Macaca fascicularis: one gene and its partner. The protein of the gene in region 1 interacts with the protein of each later gene in a biochemical or structural test. Links are inferred from orthologs where the notes say so. Each region holds a gene or a part of one and is shown in the gene's direction. Other genes may lie near its edges. The genes, in order: PRPF40A and MECP2.

Region 1 (9,860 bases):
TCATTTACAAAGTATCAAGCTCATTTCTGATATAACCCTACTACAAATAGTTGGTGTGCATAACTATCTATCTACTTGTCAATGCTAGTATATATGTGCTGGAATTTTATAATAAATTTGATCCCATTTTGAATTTAGTATCTTAAAAATAAATCGAACGAGTCTCATCCCTGGAGAAAATACTGTTTTCTTCCAGAATTATGCAGATACTTTCATAAAGTTGTTATAGCAGCCTCTGGGAAAGCAGCAGCATGGAATAAGCTTTCCTAGTAATTACTCTTATTTAAATTTGTTTTATTCTTTATTTGCTATACTAGACTTTTAGAGCAAGAATTTGTTCTGTAAAAGTGATTTTTTATTTTTTAGGATGGAAAATGAAATCCTTTTGTATGATACTTTTAAAGTTTAAATCTTTTAAAGTTTGTTTTCAGTGATTATATTTTAAAACTAGTAGATGACTTTTTTTCTCTCTTTAATAGCAATGATCAAAGCTGAAGAAAGCAGGTAAGCAATTTTGGACATCAATTTTTATTGACGAATTTGGTCTCTCCTATAATATCCTTGTGTTTGCTCAATTTTCTTTGTAATACAAGTAATGATTTAACATGTTAGGCTTGATATTTTGATGTCCTTGTAGCATTTTGTTGAGGAAAAATTAGGGAGGGGGATATTTACTCAATTTGATGCTTTGCTATACAGTGATTATTAGAATTTGTACTGTATGCCTTACAAATTAAGAAGACTGTGTTACAGAATAGTCCAAAATTCAGTTTGAGTTGATGAGGGAATGGACGAAATATATCTGTGTATCTCTTCCTTTACACAGGGTTTTCTCTAAATGGGTGAATTGGAGAAAATTCAAAGTTCTTAGAGAACTTTTTAATATGGGTCATATTTCATGGTGTAATACAATCTGATAGATTGGGTATTTTATAAATGTGAATGCTTACTGAACTTTTGAGTGCCTGTAATACGTTACCATGAGTGTTAATGGAATTAAAGTAGTACAGTTATATTCTGTGGTTTTAAAATCTTTTTTAATGGGTTTGGCATTTCTTGCTGTTTTTTCCTTCAATTATTTCTTATTATTTGATTTTATGCCAATTTTAAAGCTAGCTTTATTTAGCTTTCTGATTACAATAATGAAATGACCAGTGTTCTCTTTTTTTAATGTATAGTAAGCAAGAAGAGTGCACCACAACATCAACAGCCCCAGTCCCTACAACAGAAATTCCGACCACAATGAGCACCATGGCTGCTGCAGAAGCAGCAGCTGCTGTTGTTGCAGCTGCAGCAGCAGCAGCAGCTGCAGCAGCTGCAGCCAATGCTAATGCTTCCACTTCTACTTCTAATACTGTCAGTGGAACTGTTCCAGTTGTTCCTGAGCCTGAAGTTACTTCCATTGTTGCTACTGTTGTAGATAATGAGAATACAGTAACTATTTCAACTGAGGAACAAGCACAACTTACTAGTACCCCTGCTATTCAGGATCAAAGTGTGGAAGTATCCAGTAATACTGGAGAAGAAACATCTAAGCAAGAAACTGTAGCTGAGTAAGTTTAGTAACTTGTCTTCTAAAAATCAGTACCAGATTTCATTAATAAAAGTAGTTGCCAGTTTAGTGGCCATAAATTGTTTAAATAAATTTTTTTGAGAATCGTAATATCAAGCCGTTAAGATAGTTGATCAGTTTTCAGGCTGAATTTTGGAGGGTTATGCCAGCAAACTTGAAATTTTTAGTTCGCTGAAATTTTAACAAGTAGAGCCAAGGCTGGGGAGTTGGGGCACAAATCTGAAAGATTGCCAAAAACCTTAGTAAGCAAGATACATCATATCTTGATGCAATATTTTACATGAGAGCAGTGCAGAAATTCATGATTAACAGACTCAATATTTTCAGTTAAGATAGGTGTACTGTTTCTTCTTTGGTTATTGGTGTTTTGGGTTTCAGCCTCCTATAAATCAGTTTTAAAAATACAGCTTTGTAGAAAAAGGAATTATGGGGGGGGAAAAAGCAGTTTATGGCTAGGCATGGTGGCTCACACCTGTAATCCCAGCACTTTGGGAGGACCAGGCAGGAGGATCATTTGAGGCCAAGAGTTTAATGTCAACTTGGGCAACATAGCAAGACCCTCTCTCTACAAAAAATTTAAAAATCAGCCAGCACTTTTAACCTCAACTACTGGGGAGGCTGAGGCAGGAGGGTCACTGAGCCTAGGAGTTCAAGGCTGCAGTGAGCTATGATTATACCGCCGCACTCCAGCCTGGGTGAGAGAGCAAGGCCACCCTTTTTTTTTCTTTTTTTTGACACAGGGTCTCCCTCTGTCATCCAGGCTGGAATGCAGTGGCGTGATCAGGGCTCACTGCATCCTCGACCTCCTGGGCTCAAGCGATTCTGCCACCTCAGTCTCCTCCTGAGTAGCTGGGACTGCAGGCACATGCACCATGCCTAGCTCATTGGCCTGCCTCAGCCTCCCAGAATGCTGGGATTTTTCTACCTGGCCAAGGAAAAAAGGCAATTTACAGAGAAAGAAAGTTGTCTAGGAAGTATATGAAAAGCCATTCAGCCATAATAATAAAGAAATACAAGTTAAAATAATATTGTGATTATTTTTCTAAGTGAAAATCAAGTAGAGAAACATTTAAAAGATAACACCAGATATAAGAAAACTCTCATTTCACTCTTAGACTAAAGTAATACAACTTTTTAATAAAACAAAGCTGTATCTGTCAAGAGTTCACAGTTTGTGTGTACTTGCATAACCTGTAGTCTAGTACAGTTTATATGGCTGTGCTTTATAGAGCTTTAGAAAGTGAGATCAAGCTAAATTTCTTGACTTTAAGGGTGCCCTCATGTTTTTTTAAAAAAAATAGTTAACCGTAAGCTCATTATCCAAACATGATTATCCATCTTAATATTTAAGCGTGTTGCCTTCATCCATCCATCCCTTATTTTAAGTGTTCTTTTGTTGTTCGTATGTTAGTTTCCCAAAGTCAAAATAGATTGATAACCTTTTCTGATGCTTAAAACGTTTTAAAAGAAATCCGTATGGCGTATTTGAAGGCATGAAAATGAAATTAACATTTTCTCTACATTTAAGATACATGAATATATATCTAATATATCAGAGACATCTTCCACATTGATAGAAATGTGGACCCATCATGTCTAGTGATGGGTTACTATCATTTGATTGTGCATGAATGGAAGTGCTCCCCTATCCGTAGATACTTAGGCTTTTTGGAATAATTTTATTTTGCATCTTGTCGTACTGAAACGTTTCATCAATAATGTTTTCCATAAGTTTAACATTAAATAGTTGTTCCCTGCTTTTTTCATTCCGACATTTCCTTGCTATAGTGCCTGAGTCATTATAATATGCTTTTGATTTTAATTACTATAATAGAGATCATTTTTTGTCAGTATCTACTACAGTGTCTGTTTGCGTCAGCATTCTACTTAAAGTATTTTTTTTTCATCCCCCGACCCCCACCCCATACATTCCCTTATTATGTAGAAAGAAATGTAAGGCTTATACAATTTTTTCTTGTCAGGAAGACCCCCAATTATTAAACAAGTTAGTGATTCTGGGTAGTATTAATTTTTGTTTGACATCAGTATTCAGCACACTTTTTCATGAAATATCAGATTGGAAATATTTTTGGGTTATTTGTGTCATATAGTCTTTATATAGTGACTCAAATCAGCTGTGGTAGCACAGTCAGCGATAAACAATCTGTAAACAAATGAACATGGGCATTTTCAAGTAAAACTAGAATTACAAAAATTAATAGGCTGAATTTGACTAGTGGGTTGTAGTTTGTCAATCCTGATTTAGATTGATCCTTACATCTTATTAATCTTCACCCTTGCCCAAATCCTTAGAGTTATTGCAGCACTAATGTGGAACCAGTGAATGAGTTTAATAAGCCATTTAAAACTATTAACCTGTGGGCCAGAGGAGCTAGTGTCTTAAGTCAGTTAAACGTTTATTTTGTCATTTGTCCAGGGTCTTAAAAACTGATTTAATAACTGAAGTTTTATGAAACTATTATCTTTATTTCTTTGTCTTCAGATAAGTGTGTTTTTTAGAGTTCATATAGCTTTTATCCTAAATGTCAAATTTTAATTCAACATCAAACATTTAAACAGTTTAGGCATTATTTTTCTAAATGAAACAAAAATTTATTTAATTCATAAATACCACATTTGAATTTCTCTCTAGTTTTACTCCCAAAAAGGAAGAGGAGGAGAGCCAACCAGCAAAGAAAACATACACTTGGAATACAAAGGAGGAGGCAAAGCAAGCTTTTAAAGAATTATTGAAAGAAAAGGTATTAATATTGCAGATTTTTATTGTTTAACTTTTTGACATCACGTATATATTACAGATTTTTATGTGATGCATAATATTTACCCAATAAATGACGTTACTCTTTAAACTTTGATGGTATTGATAATACCAGTCTCATGAACTGTTGAACTGAAAAGCAACTAAATGTGTCTTGTTTTTTTTTTTTGAAGAACACTTGTGAAACTGACTTTCAACACAAAAACTATTGTGTACAAGGTATTACACAAGCACATTTCTACCCAATATTTAATGTAAGGGGTTTTAAAATTCATAATAATTATCTTTTATCAGTAGTCTAAGAAAAAAGCATTTATGCTCTATTTAAATTTCAGTTAAAGTTTTCATTTTAGTTCATAGGTGTATTACACAGATTTGCCTTCAATAAAAAACTATTTTTTTAAAACTTGTTCAAACTCCTGCAAATGGAAATGCTTGATATTTGCAGTGAGTATTATACTTGGTTCCTGTTATGTGACTTAAACTCTTCTTGTGTGAAATTTTAATTTTTCATTTAAATGATTTTCAGCGGGTACCATCAAATGCTTCATGGGAGCAAGCCATGAAAATGATTATTAATGATCCACGATACAGGTAATACTTCAGCTTTTTTTTACTTTTCAGTTTGAGCATAGCAAGCCTAACACATTTAAAGTTGTATAGAAAGAGAAAACATTTAACTCTGTTGACATCTGTTTAGGATACCAAGTATAGAGTTGTTTTATGTCTAATAACCAAAAAGTCAGTCAAACAATTTACCCTGCTACATATAAAATAATAATTATTTTAAAAGTAGAAATTACTTTCTCCAATCATTTCTTGTCTTTAATAAATTTTTGAAATTTTTAAAATTTATATATGTAAACAATTTTATTTTTATCAAATCACTAATATTTGATTCTTCTGCCTGTGTCTACTCTTATATGGTATTTTTATATTAGTGCTTTGGCAAAGTTAAGTGAAAAAAAGCAAGCCTTTAATGCCTATAAAGTCCAGACAGAAAAAGAAGAAAAAGAAGAAGCAAGATCAAAGTACAAAGAGGCTAAGGAATCCTTTCAGCGTTTTCTTGAAAATCATGAGAAAATGACTTCTACAACCAGATACAAGTAAGATGTTGAATGTTGCATGGCCTATATTTACTACATTGTTGTTTGTGTCGTACTTTTTTGCCATGTGCAGTAGCTGATCCAGAGCTCATTAAATAAAACTAGATAATTATGAATGTGGAAGCTTCATGAGGTACCAAATAAATCTGTAGTTAAATGTAGAATTTAACTTGTAGACTTACTAAGTTTTTTAGAGACTGGAAGAAGGGGAGAAAGATTGAATTCAATAATCAAGTTGGAGGCTAGACGTGGTGGCTCACACCTATAATCCCTACTATTTGTGAGGCCAAGGCAAGCAGATGGCTTGAGCCCAGGAGTTCAAGACCAGCCTTGGCAACATAGTAAAACCTTGTTTATAGGGGAAAAAAAGAAAAATACAAAAATTAGCCAAGCATGGTGGCACGTGCCTGTAGTCCCAGCTCCTTGGGAGGCTGAGGTAGAAAAATCACTTGAGCCTGGGAAGGCTACAGTGAGCCATAATTGCACCACTGCACTCCAGGGTGACAGCGAGACCCTGTCTCAAAAAACAAACAAACAAAAAACAGAAAAGAAAAATCAAATTTGATTGCCTTTTACTTAAAAACATTGACATTATTGATCTTTGTGGAGTAAAAAGAGGCGGTTTTCATTACGTAGGCATAGCATTTTGGATAATTGTTTTATATAGCATTCTTCATTTTAGATTGCTTATGTAAAATTGTGGATAATGTTAAAAGTTTTTCGATATGTTATTAAGCCTATTTTCTGTATGTACTTCTTTGTTTTCCTCAGTATTCCAGAGAAGTCTGTAATTTAGTTCTGTCAGCAGTTTGGTAGTCTTGTGTGGCTGCCACTAGATACAGAGGTAGTCTAGACTATAAGCAGTGCCTAATGTGAATTATCCCCTCTATCTCTAACGAGAGAGGGAGGCATGTGCTATGCCTTTAATATTTTTATGAACTTCGAATAGAAAGTATTCATTTTGTAGTTTTAAATTTAGTTTAAAAATTGGTTAAGATTAATTTTTATTGTATAATATAATTTTTTAACATAGAAAAGCAGAGCAAATGTTTGGAGAGATGGAAGTTTGGAATGCAATATCAGAACGTGATCGTCTTGAAATCTACGAAGATGTTTTGTTCTTTCTTTCAAAAAAAGAAAAGGTATTCTTAGTTACTGGTATTTATAGATAACACAAGATGTTTCCTCATTCTCAGGAAGATTGGTTTTAAAATGTGTACGTTTTTGTGGCTTAGTTTATCCAGTTTATGTGGTATAGCAGATTATTTATTGGAAGTAACATTTAAAGATGGAATGTGTAACTTCTATAATAAGCTTCTTTATCATTCATGTAGCGTATTAAGTACTGATGTAGACTCAGTGGGTAATTCAGCTATTTGTATTGTCATTAATTGGCTATCTTAAACACTCACTTTGAAAAAGAAGGTACCTTTTTTGCTCATTAGGTTTAAAAATGCTGGGTTTTTTTGCTTATAACAAACATGATTGGTACAAGAATGACAGCAGTGTGCAGTTGTTTCTACAAAACTTATAACATTTTAAAATACCTATTTCACTCCTGTCTCTTTTTCATTGTGCACTATTATATTTTATGCTTTTTAGTTTTCAAGGAACACATAGATGCAAGTATTATCAAATTTAAACATAGCTGAAGGTCATTGAAGACTTTAGCATTTACCTGCAATGTGACTTGTCCATGGTAACCTTAGTTTTTGTCTGTAATGCTTAGTGGTAGAAAGGTTTATGTAGTGGGGAATGTATGGGGGAAAAGCTGAAAACATGGTTTCCAGATTCTAGCTTTTAGAAGGAGGTGGAAAATGTGAAGCTAAGTACCAAAGCCAAGTGCTTAGGCAAGAGCAAGCAAAGTCAGCAGTGTGGCCATTTAAAGTAAATGAAATTTACTTGAAATTTGATTTAACCTTTGAAATTTGGTCATCCATTAGAATATAAAGCCTTCACTAATTGCAATTTAAGTATCTTAATTTCTTGGAACTTTGAAACATATATATTCATACTTCTGCTATAGGAACAAGCAAAGCAGTTGCGAAAGAGAAATTGGGAAGCCTTAAAAAACATACTTGACAACATGGCTAATGTAACGTACTCTACCACTTGGTCTGAAGCCCAGCAGTATCTGATGGATAATCCAACTTTTGCAGAAGATGAGGAGTTACAAAGTAAGAATAATGGCTAAGAGAAATAGTTTTAAATAGTGTCCTCCAGCAGCGAAGAATTATTTTCACTTTTTATATGAGATAACTAACTGAATTTTATGCAGTTGTTGGTTCATTTCTGAAAAAGTGTTTTATTTATTTCCAAATAGGATATTTCTTTCTGATTGAGTTTGTGATTCATGACAAAATGTTTTTTCAAATTTAAAGTAGCTTTATCAGGTAATACTTGAAATATTTAAATTATAGGTCAAATTTGAAATCATGCTTAGCCATTTGTATGTAACTTGGTAAGAACTAAATGAATTACCGCATTTTACTCGTGTTTTTTTGAGGTAATAACATTACAGATTTGTAAAAAGAAGAAAATGTATTAGAATTATCTTACATTAGGCTTCCCTAAGTATTCTTTCTGAGTTAACCAATTGCTTTTTAAATTATAGCTTTCTCAGCTACCTCTCTAAAAGTCATGCTTCAGTAGATTTTTTTTATAGGGTGCACAGTTCTATACTAAGCTCTTGGAATAATTATGATATTGCAAACAGATTTTATCATAACACTTTTATTTTCATTAGTTTTGCCATATGCACGTCCTTTGTTTTATCCTATGACATGTTTCAGTGTGCCTTTTATTGAGTTCTTTGTGAAATTTTCCTTAAAACTTTCCTATGCAGATGATTACAAATCATATTGAGTTTAAATACAAGTTTGTTTGTTTGTTTAGAGACGGGGTCTTGCTGTGTTGCCTAGGCTAGTCTTGAACTCCTGGGCTCAAGCAGTCCTCCCACCTCAGCCTTCCAAAGTGTTGAGATTACAGGCATGAGCCACCTCACCCTAGCCTAGCTAAAAGTATTTTTGACAGGTGATTTTGAAATTTTGGGGGATCTAATGCAAATAAACTACTTGTTGACATTTGACACTTTAAATTTTAACTGGCAAATACTTTAGATATGGACAAAGAAGATGCATTAATTTGCTTTGAAGAACACATTCGGGCTTTAGAAAAGGAAGAAGAAGAAGAAAAACAGAAGAGTTTGCTAAGAGAAAGGAGACGACAGCGAAAAAATAGGGAATCTTTCCAGGTAAAAGAAAAAGCTCTTTTCTAGCTTAGTTTTATATTATACTTACAGAACTTGAACAGTAATATAAAGAATTTTGAGACAACTGTTCCCAGATCATAGACTTAGGCTTTGTGAGGACTCATACACATTTAACTCTTTAAGTTCTACAGATGAACATTGATAAATGAGGTTTCGGTTGGGGAAAACAACAGGAGAGATGACTGGAAACAAGATATGTGTGGTGAGTCAGTAGTAGATGATACTTAGTTTCTAGAGGACAAAGGGACTGCTAGGGTATAGTTTGGGGATGGGCCATAATTTCTTAAACACTAAAAAAAGGACCTGGGATTGCATGTTTTTCAGCTAGTAGTTTATTTTCATCTTCAAGTATCATTTTTATTTTCAGAGATAGAAAATATCATGGAGCAATGAATTTTTTGCATTTCATATCTCACCCATTTCAATAATAATTGTAATAGCTAATGTTCTTTGATTGCTTACTGTCAATACAATTTATGTTTACAATCTCAATTTTTATGACAGTCTTATCTTATAAGGGTACTTACTGTTTTTGTTACATAAGTTTATATAACTAAGGAAATGAAGAGGTGAAGTGACTTGCCCAAGTTCAACAGTTGCTGAATAGTGAAGCCAGAATTTGAATCTATGCAGTTTTGATTACAGGGTCTCTTCCATTAACCATTGTATTAGGGTGAATGCTAGGTTACAATGGCTTAAATTTTAAGTTTTTTTCTTGAAATAACAGTCTTTTTGGTCTAGGGCAGGGCATATTGCCATCCCCTAAGGCAGAGGTTCTCAAAATTCAGTGTGTATTAGAATGACGTAGAGGACTTTTTAAAAATTTCTTCTGGCTGGGCACAGTGGCTCATGCCCATAATCCCAGCACTTTGGGAGGCTGAGGCTGGCAATTGCTTGAGTCCAGAAGTTCAAGACCAGCCTGGGCAACATGATGAAACCCGCTCCCTACTAAAAATACAAAAATAATAATAATAATTAGCTGGGTGTGGTGGTGCACGCCTGTAGCCCCAGCTACTCAGGAGGCTGAGATGGGAGAACCTGAGCCCAGGAGGTCAAGACTGCAGTGAGCTGTGATGGCGCCATTGCACTCTAGACTGTGCGAAAGAGCGAGATCCTGTCTCAAAAAAAAAA
Region 2 (10,444 bases), on another chromosome or scaffold:
CACCTCGGCCTACCAAAGTGCTGGGATTACAGGTGTAAGCCAAGGTGCCTAGCGAGCTTTTTCCCATGCACCTGTTGGTCATTTGAATGTCTTCTTTTGAGAAATGTCTATTCAGGTCTTTTGCCTTCTCCTAACCTTTTATTTTATCTGTCTGTCTCTCTATCTAGCTATCTATTTATTTTGAGACGCAGTCTTGATCTGTTGCCCAGGCTAGAGTGCAGTGGCACGATCTCGGCTCACTGCAACCTCCACCTCCCAGGTTCAAGCAATTCTCCTGCCTCAGCCTCCCGAGTAGCTGGGACTACAGGTGCGTGCCACCATGCCCGGCTAATTTTTTTGTATTTTTAGTAGAGATGGGGTTTCACCATTTTAGCCAGGATGATCTCAATCTCCTGATCTCGTGACCCATGTGCTGAGATTACAGGCATGAGCCACCATGCCTGGTCAATTTTTTTTTTTTTTAAGAGACAGGGTCTTGCTTTGTTGCCCAGGCGAGAGTGCTGTGTGCAATCATAGCTCACTCCTGGGCTCAAGTGATCCTTCCACCTAAGCTTTCCAGGGAGCTGGGACTACAGGTGTGTGCCACTACGTCTGGCTAATATTTAAAATTTTTTATTTTGTAAAGACCAGGTCTTGCTTCTTGCTATGTTGCCCAGGCTTGTCTTGAACTCCAGTTCTCTGATTTTTTTTTTTTTTTTTTTTTTTTTTTTTTTTGAGACGGAGTCTCACGCTGTTGCCCAGGCTGGAGTGCAGTGGCGCGATCTCGGCTCACTGCAAGCTCCGCCTCCCGGGTTCCCGCCATTCTCCTGCCTCAGCCTCCTGAGTAGCTGGGACTACAGGCGCCCGCCACCGCGCCCGGCTAATTTTTTGTATTTTTAGTAGAGACGGGGTTTCACTGTGGTCTCGATCTCCTGACCTTGTGATCCGCCCGCCTCGGCCTCCCAAAGTGCTGGGATTACAGGCTTGAGCCACCGCGCCCGGCCTGATTTTTAAAAAAAATCATAAGTAGATGTTGAATTTTATCAAATGCTTTTTCTGCATCTATTGAAATAATTATGTGGTGTTTTTCCCCTTAAGTTTGTTAAGGTTGAGTTTCTAATTGTAAACCATATTTGCATTCTTAGGATAAAATTGAACTCGGTTGTGATAGATCATATACTGCAGGATTCAGTTTATTTGTCTAGAATTTTAAAACTTATTTCCACATCTTGTGTCATACTTTTCTTGGCTCATCATAGTAGATATATTAGTCTAGTAAAATAAGTTTGGAGACATTTATTTCTTTTCTGTGTATGATTGGCATTGCCTACTCATTAAAGATTTGGTAGAAGTCATCCGTAAAGCCCTCTTGGTCTGTTCTCTCTCTCTCTCTCTCTCTCTCTCTCTCTGTGTGTGTGTGTGTGTGTGTGTCTGTGTGTCTGTGTGTCTGTGTCTGTGCGTAGGGGGATGGGTAGGTTTTTAAATACATAGTCAATTTCATTGTGGTTACAGGGATTTTCTGTTTCTAGAGCTGGTTTTGGTAAGCTGTACTTTCCTAGGAATGTATTCCTTTTGCTTATGTTTTCAAATTTACTGACGCACGGTTCACAATAAAATCTTTCCATGAGTAATATAATTTACTTTTCTCTTTTCTTTTTATATCCAGCTTGTTAGAGGGTTGGCTCTTGTTTTTCAGCTTTTCAAAGAAGCAGGTTTAAAATTTTCTCAATCCTCTCCATCATTTGTTTCTATTTCATTAAGTTTTATTCATCCTTATTTTTCTTTCTTCTACTTTTGCAGGCTTACTCTGTCATTTTTTTATGGCTTCTTGAATTGGATGTTCAGCGTGATGACTTTTTGACTGCTTTAGCTGCATCTCTATACTTTAGCATCACACACCCAACGGCTTACTCAACATCTCCATTTTCACACCACTGGGCACCCCAAGCTTAATATAGCCAAAGCAGAACTCTTGATCTGCACCTCTGAAAATGTACTTTTCCTGTAGCTCTCCCCACCATGGTGAAAGGCACCCTTATTTCCCCAGTTGCTCAGGCCCCAATCTCAGGAATTATCCTTGTTTCTTTCCTTTCTCTGTGCCCTACATCCAGTCCTTTTGTTCAGTTTTGAAAACATATCTTGAATCTCACAACTTCTCAGAGCTGCACTGACTGCTACCACCCTAGTTAAAGCCACCATCATCTCTTTCTCCTAGACTGTTCTAGGGCCTCGCAACTAGCCTTGTGCTGTAGTTTTGTCCCATCATGTCCAGTTCTCCACTCTACACCTGCAACATACATCAGACAGCTCCTGGCTCAAAATCCTCTAAGGGCTTCTCATCTTAGAATAAACTCAGTTCTGGCCAGGTGCGGTGGCTCACACCTGTAGTCCCAGCACTTTGAGGTGGGCGGATCACCTGAACTCAGGAGTTTGAGACCAGTCTGGGCAACATGGTGAAACCCCATCTCTATCAAAAATACAAAAACTTAGCCAGGCGTGGTGAGCATCTGTGGTCCCAGCTACTTAGGACGCTGAGCAGGGAGGATCGCTTGAGCTCAGGGTGGAGGTTGCAGTGAGCCAAGATTGCACCACTGCACTGCAGCCTGGGCTACAGAATGAGACCCCATCCCCCACCCCCCCAAAAAAGAATGAACTCCCAGTTTTCATAGTGGCCCCGGCTGCCTTTCCAATCACATTCCCTACCACTCTCCAGCAACACTGACCTCCTTGTTAGTCCCCAACATGCCAGGCATAGTCTCTCCTCATGGCCTTTGAACTTGCCTGGAATGTTCTTTCCCCAGATATTCAAATGAGGGAGTAAAATGAGGATGAAAACCCATAGATACCTAAATAGCACCCCCTTTACTCTTACTCTATCTTTCTCAAAGCCCCTGTCACTATGTGAAATGATACATTATACTTATGTGTATGCTAGTATGAATCTTCCCGGCAAGAATCTTAGTATGCTGTCTGTTCAGTACCATGCATCCAGAGCCTGGAAGAGTGCCTGGCACATAGCAGGTAGTCAATAAATGAATGGGGGCAGGCAGCCAAATCAGAATCAGGTTTTCTTGCTAAGCATAGAACTAACAGAAGGATCACTGAATGGATTGGATAATGACTGGCATCAGGGTAAGGTCCCCTTAACAAACACTCCTGTCCTGAACACCTGGTTAGCTAACACTTTTCTCATATTTTCCCAAAACACAATTGCTGGATCTCAGCTCCAAATCCATTTTTCTAGGAAAGTGAACAATTGCTGGATCTCAGCTCCCAAATCACATCTTTCAGGCAGAGCTAACATTGCCCCTTATTCACACCTCCACCAAACCATCTGATCCAACAATGACAGGTGTCACGAGGCCTTGGCATGCACTCTCTTCCCCCGCCAGAGTTCTGCGAAGGCCAGGGTTGGGATTTGTTGTCAGTTTATTCCCCACCCCTACGAGAACGTGACCACCGGGCAGGCTCAGATGAAATAATGCATTGAGTAGGCCTCTGAAACCAAGGCCCCTCAGCTGGGGCAACGTCAGGCTCCAGGGCGGGTAACTTTGCTGCTTCTGCTGAAAATGGTGATATTGAGAAACTGCGGGTGCAGTGAAACGCTTATTGCAGCGCACTCGGTGCATCTGTGGACAGAGGGTCAATCGCCCCTCAGGGCCGCGCAAACAGGCGTCCCGAGCCTGGGCCTTCACTTGCCCCAGCATCCGCAAGGGTCCATTAATCCTTAACATTCAAATTCCGCCCACTAAACCAGCCCCTCCGCGCCCAAGCCGCCTCTTTTCCCCAAACGTCGGCCGAAAGCAGCCAATCAACAGCTGGAGGGGACCGCCTCCTTTTCCCTGGCCGAAATGGACAAGAAATCTCGCCAATTGACGGCATCGCCGCTGTGACCGCCCCCCCGCCCCAGCCCGGCCATCACAGCCAATGGCGGGCGGGCTCGCAGCGGCGCCGGGGGCGGGGCGCGGGCGCGCAGGTGCAGCAGCGCGCGGGCCGGCCGGGAGGGCGGGGCGCGACGTCGACCGTGCGGGGTCCCGGCGTCGGCGGCGCGCGCGCTCCCTCCTCTCGGAGAGAGGGCTGTGGTAAAAGCCGTCCGGAAAATGGCCGCCGCCGCCGCCGCCGCGCCGAGCGGAGGAGGAGGAGGAGGCGAGGAGGAGAGACTGTGAGTGGGACCGCCGTGGCCGCGGGCGGGGACCCTTGCCGGGGGGCGGGGGTCAGGGGCGGGACGTGGCGCGGGAGGGGCCCGCGGGGTCGGACGACACGGCTGGCGGATGGCGTCCCTCCTCTCTACCCTCCCCCTCCCGCCGCCGCCGGTGGCGACTCTCCCTTCGGCCCGTCACCCGTGCTCGCGGGTGACCGTCCTCGGCGCGGCCTCCCTGGAGCCGCCTTCGCCTGACGCCCCTCTTCCTTCCGCCCTCGGCGCGCATCCCGGCCCCCGGCCCCGCGGGCGCCCCTGTCGCCGGGGCTTCGCCTGTCGGGGCTGCGCGCGCTCCTGCCCTGCTCGGGGCTTTGGGCCGCGGCGCCGTCGCGCGCCCGCGGCCCCGGCCTCTCCCTGGATCGCGCTCTCCCCTCTCCTCCCTCGCGCGCCCCCTCTCCCGTTACTTGGCCCCCCCCACCGGCGCGCGTGCGCACTTCGCCTCCCGTCGGGAGAGTGCGCCACAAGGGCTCCTGAGCTCTCACCCCCATCTCTGGGCTTTGCCTCCCCCTCCTTCTCGCCCATTCCATGAATTTCTGCCCCCCCACCCCCACGCGAGCGAGTAGGTCCACCGGCTCCTTTCCCCATCTAGCAGGAACAAGGAGGTGGGGATTATTGTCCACAAAAGGACTAGACATTGTGTTCTGGGTCCCACAACTCATCATAAAGAGGTGGTTATAGTTCCCATCAGGAGCCGTGAGTAGGGGACTGTGCGTCCAGCAGCACCCGAGGCTCTTCGGCGCCTGAGGCTCTAAGGTGCGAGCGTGTCCCCAGGGTGCTCAGAGGTTCTTTGGAGTGCTGTGGCCTCGGAATGTGAGCACCCTCCCATCTTACCCTCCCCTTCGCCGGCGATCTTCCAGTTACATAAGTGGAGTGGGACATAGTAGGTAACGGGCTCTCATCGCCCTGGAGCGCTCGGGATCACCGGTACCAGATGGAGCAAGTTCATCGCGACGCTGTGGCTCCTGTTCATTGTGCCTGAAAGGTTATTCTCTGTTCAGTTTGGTTATGACCGAATCACCCAAACTGAAACTCAGATGACTTTTATATGGCAGTGGCAATGTTTCTGTGGTTTTGCACTAAAGACTTAAGGTCATTATGAAGAGTTTAAAAGGATTGCTCTCGCAGGGGAGACCGTTTATGACATTGCTAAGTATGGACCCCAAGGGGGAAAAAGCTCATTCTGGAATTGCTCTGTGGCGGTGACTTCTGTTGTGAGTGTGTTCGGGTGTGGGTTGGTCACAGCAGAAATGGGCTCCACCACAAAATTGATATTCCTGACTCATGGTCAGACAGATGTGTGCTTCTGGTTATTTTTCCAGGAACAGGAATGGGCTCTGCCGAGCCTTGCACACGTTGTGTCTCTGCTGTGCGGGATCAGTACCCCAAACTGAGATAACAGGATCGAATTCATGGGTTGGTTGGTGATCCAGGAACCATACCTACTTGGATGTGATACTGAGTGACTTAGACGTTGTAGGACTCTCATAAGTTTTAGGCATTTTGTTATACTGTAAAAAGCATATACGGCCTCGGTAGTAACGTTGCACTAATAGGTAATTATTACTCTAGAGAATTTTGGGTTCCGTGGCTGGAATGTTCATCTGTATCTCAGCAATTTCAGTTAATAACCAGATTAAGCTGACCTCTTGAGTCTTTTGAAATCTGCTGGGTCCCTATAATAAGATAGGGTCTGGATTTTTTAATCTTTTGGGAATTTCCACCAAGGATTTAGGGAAATAGGCTTATTTATGGGCTTTTCAGGATTTCTATTTTAAATCCCAGTCAGGAAGTGTAGGAAGCACTTGCTTTTATTTTCTTACGTGAATATGTCAGAACCTTAAATCACCCAATCAATCTAGAAGTAGTACAATTGATTAAAATAAGTCACCACAGGTCACCCATTCGTGGCAGGTCAGCTAGGTGGCTGATCACTGGAATACAGTCATATCCCCAGGCAGACACAGGAGCCTCACTTGACGATCCCAAAGTTTGTACATCTGAGCTTGAGACATGACAAGTTGAGGTCTCTGCTTTGTTCTTCATAGTTGGCAGTTTGTCTCCTCGGGTTCCCCTCCAGTTAGCTGTTTATCATACACCTAGCCCTTTCAACAGTGCAGGCAGCTTCCATAGTATAGTTTTCTCTTCAAAGTGCCGGGTGGAGGGGTACCCCCCTTTCCATTGTCCTAATGGCTCCATAGGGCTTCCATACCAGCCCTTTCCAGTGTCCTAACAGCTCAAAGAAACCATCTATGACTTTCTTGTTAGCACTGGCCTATCACACCTTCCTATTGCCTGTTACTAAAATTTAACCTGGAATGCTTTAAGCTTAGAGTACTGGGTCTTTGTTTTACCCGATTGATAGGAGAGTGTCATACAGTCAGCAGAACTCCGACTTTTGTGCTGTTTAATACTTAGGTAGGTCTGGGGCAAGGCACAAACCACTGTGTATTCAAAGGGTTATGGTGCTTACATTCTGTGTGTATATGTTTGTAATTTCCAACCAGAGTCATTTCCCGTGCCTGCCCTGCCTCTGTGCAATCTCATCTAGTGGAGTAGGGAGGCAAGCTGTGGAGTTTGAAAAAAAAATAAACAAAAAAACTGGCTAGATGAGTTTAATAGGCTGTTACCCCCTCTGGAACATTCCTCCCATGTGGAGATGAAATGAGAAGTTCGTTTCTTTAACCTAAAATAAAGAACAACAGAGATAAAATTGTTAGTTCCTTATTGGAGCCTGGTTTCCACTGCTTTGGACTCTGCATGATAAATGACGTGTCCTAGAACCTGAAATATTTTATAAAGGGTAATATCTGCAGAAATCTTTTAATTAGCTAAAAGCAGTTTGTTCTCAAGCTGCCCGAGTTATCTTGGAGGAGGAGAGAATCACAGAAAATGTTTGATATTTCTAGTAACCAGTGTTTTCAGTGCATGGGGTAAAGCACACTCCTAGACTGGCCAGTCCCGAAGAGTGTGGCAGGACACCTGCTTGTTTTCCCTGCCCTCTACTATGGTGACATCCTTGCAGACCAGTCTTGCGTGGCTGGCAGACACAATCTCTTTTTCTTGGGTAGAGCATTATCACCGCTGCGATGGAAGGACCTTGTCCTCAGTGCCTCCATACCAGCCCTTTCCAGTGAAACTACTGCTGTCCGGGCAAGCCCTGTGCATGTGCATCATTCCGGGTAGGACAAGACATGAACAGGTCCCTCTTCTTTGGGCTTAAGTAGAAGTTGAGCTCTTCTGCTTTTATCTGTTTTCTTCTGCCTTTCTATTTCAAGAAACCTTCTCCTGTCAAAAGCTTGGTTCACATGCCATTGCTTAAATACTTCGATGGTATGTATGGTGTGTGGGATAACTGAGTGGGAGCCGGAATTGGGGGGTGGGCAGGGCATCCCCACCCCCACATCAAAGGGAGAATGACCATTTCGTTAGAGAATAAAAAGCCTGAGTCTTTATAACTTCTTCAAGCACACATATGCTGGGTCTGGTGGCGTGTGAATGTGTCCCCGCTGTGGTGTGTGGCTGTTTTGCAGTTCCTGTAGACACTGTAGTCTGGGCTCTCATTATTGCCTCTGAAGCTGACAGGACTAAACCTTAGTAAGGATGCACTTGTCTTCCTTGCCTAAGAGCTAGGGGTGTTTTATATATATATGAACTTTTTTCTTTATTAGATTTCACAAACTGCTCTCATTTTCTGGCTTCTTTCTTTCTTTTTTCTTTTCTTTCTTTCTTTTTTTTTTTTTTTTTTTTTTTTTGAGACAGTCTTGCTTTGTCGCCCAGGCTGGAGTGCAGTGGCACAATCTCAGCTCACTGCAACCTCTGCCTCCTGGATTCAAGCAGTTCTCTGCCTCAGCCTCCCAAGTAGCTGGGATTACGGGCACCCGTCACCACGTCTGGCTAATTTTTTTTTTGTTTGGTTTGGTTTTTTTTTTTTTTGGTCGAGACAGGGTTTCGCCATCTTGGCCAGGCTGGTCTTGAACTCCTGACCTTGTGATCCACCTGCCTCGGCCTCCCAAAGTGCAGGGATTACAGACGTGAGCCACCGCACCCAGCCTCTGTCTCTTTTCTTTTTGACATGAAATCTTAAGTTAATTATCTTAAACTTTAAGAACTAGAAGGATCCTTAGTCCAGCACCATCAGTTTGCAAACAAAAAAAAAACCTGTGTCCCTGAGAAGTTGTGACTTTTCCAGGGCCTCCTAGCCAGGATACCAGTTTGGTTTTTATTAGATAGCTAACCGAGTAATACTATTAACTTGACTTCTGGGGTTTCAAAGTATTCTATGACTTGACTGTTTAAGGGAATTATGAGGCCTCACTGAACCTCAAAAGATAATTTTAGATACCATCCTGTTAGCTATAGAGCAGCAAAAGAGCAGTAAAAGACTTGGTTGGTGTTGCCCTTCTTCCGGGTTTGATTACATGAGTAATTGTGTGGATGGTCTCTAAGTTGTATGCTCTGAGCTTTTGTTTTTAGCTTATAAAAGTGCTACTTTTGGGCCAGCATAGTATCAGAAATTAGGTAATTAATATGGGGCAGTTTAGGCTTTAACAAGGAAATGATGGTTATCTTAATGACAGAAATGGTACTGACAAAAGTCCTTTTTTGAACATGTGTTCAAAAGCAAAAGAGAAACTATCAAACTGATAACTCAGTTTGTTAAATAGTGAGATTGACTGATCTGAGAGGCTTAAAACTGATTGCCCTGAAATAGACTTGCATGTTTTGGATGATGGCTTTGGGTCTCCCAGAGCACTTGGTTTCCCATGGTGCTGATTTTTTCTCTCAGGATTAAAGCCCCTTTATGTGATGTTGTTACAGCAGCTCATTGCAACTTCATTCAGCTGCTTGCAAAAGAAGGGAGACTGCCTCTAGGTTCCATGTGTTCTTTCAGGGATGGTATTTTGATGTTGCATATTCTCTTGAATATGTATTCTTCCCTGAGAATTTCTGTGTGACGTGGTGGAAGAAATACTGGCCAGAAATCACCATTCATGGTATGCTTTTGTACTGTCGAAGTGTCCCCTAGAGGTGACAAGACTTGTGATAGTGTTGATTCTAACAAGCATGAGTCTTTCCTCTATTTTAGCACTGTGTGTTACTTACGTGCCAGTAATTTGCAGTTTATCCTTTGTTTCTAGCTAGGTAAGCTGGGAAATAGCATAGTACTTTGTCTGTGTGTTTATCTTCAAAATGTCCCAAATAGCCCTGGGAAAAAGGTCGTGCAGCTCAATGGGGGCTTTCAACTTACAATTTTCTTTGTTTTAGGCTCCATAAAAATACAGACTCACCAGTTCCTGCTTTGATGTGACATGTGACTCCCCAGAATACACCTTGCTTCTGTAGACCAGCTCCAACAGGATTCCATGGTAGCTGGGATGTTAGGGCTCAGGTAAGTAACCTTCCTTTTTTTTTTTTTAGTATATGTCCTGGTTTGGCCATCTGTTTTTTTTTTTTAAAAAAAAAAAAAAAAAAAGGAAAAAAGGAAAAAAATATACTACTCTTGGACAGTATAAAAGTACCCCAAAGACTAAAGACATAACTGTGCCAAACTGTGCCATATAATAAAAAAAAGTCACTTCCCTGAGCCCTGAAAGGTCAGTGTGGGTAGGGTTACCTGGTCGCTACAGCGAGATCTGGGGGCGGGCGTCAGATTAGAGCCGGAACTGGTGATCTGCAACTTCAGTTCACCTTGAAGCAGGTCAGCTGAGCTGAGAGCGCTTGCACTGAGCCCTTCTGCGCTGCTGCTGTTGCCTTAGCGGTCTTCAGCATGTGTTTACTTCGGTTTGGAGTAAATGCTTTAGTGGTCAGCGTTAGTGAGCAGTGGTAATGCATTTTCAGATATGGGAACTGGTATATGGTTGGTTCCCTAGAAGGACACCCTCCTGAAAGCTGTCTCAGAACACCGGGGGCCATGACTAATAAATATCATGTGCTTGCCACACTCCTCCCATGGTAACTAAAGAGAGTACCCAGATATACATCTGTTCTTGAGACTCTAGAGGAGGATGAGTAATTTGTAAAAAGCTGGGGGCCCAAGTCATTCTAGGTCTGACACTCAGGTGCTGTATCAGCTGCAGTTTGAACTAGTTGGCACCATTGTGTGGACTTTAGTTTTGTAAAAATGAATGGTTCCTTCAGGCTCAACATCTCAAGCTGTTTGTTGTTGTTGTTGTTTGTTTGTTTTTGTTTTTGTTTTTTGATTAGTGGTCACTCCACATTTGATGTTTTGACGTGTGGATTTCAGAACTTCTGTGTGGTAAAGCCGAA

What was found.
Region 2: the proteins of PRPF40A (region 1) and MECP2 form a complex in vitro, tested with the Homo sapiens proteins (2 studies listed by BioGRID, with this or other methods). The link is inferred for Macaca fascicularis from reciprocal best matches to the Homo sapiens genes PRPF40A and MECP2.

Annotation. Positions count from the first base shown.
Region 1 is NC_088386.1:48,175,936-48,185,795, reverse strand, and holds part of PRPF40A (pre-mRNA-processing factor 40 homolog A), read left to right. Parts: intron 1-479; coding exon 480-504; intron 505-1,178; coding exon 1,179-1,553; intron 1,554-4,226; coding exon 4,227-4,335; intron 4,336-4,881; coding exon 4,882-4,946; intron 4,947-5,293; coding exon 5,294-5,458; intron 5,459-6,491; coding exon 6,492-6,600; intron 6,601-7,484; coding exon 7,485-7,635; intron 7,636-8,577; coding exon 8,578-8,711; intron 8,712-9,860.
Region 2 is NC_088395.1:160,161,951-160,172,394, reverse strand, and holds the start of MECP2 (methyl-CpG-binding protein 2), read left to right. Parts: upstream 1-4,046; 5' UTR 4,047-4,079; coding exon 4,080-4,141; intron 4,142-7,245; coding exon 7,246-7,356; intron 7,357-9,442; exon of another isoform or gene 9,443-9,540; coding exon of another isoform or gene 9,541-9,566; intron 9,567-10,444. UniProt on the Homo sapiens protein: Chromosomal protein that binds to methylated DNA. It can bind specifically to a single methyl-CpG pair. It is not influenced by sequences flanking the methyl-CpGs.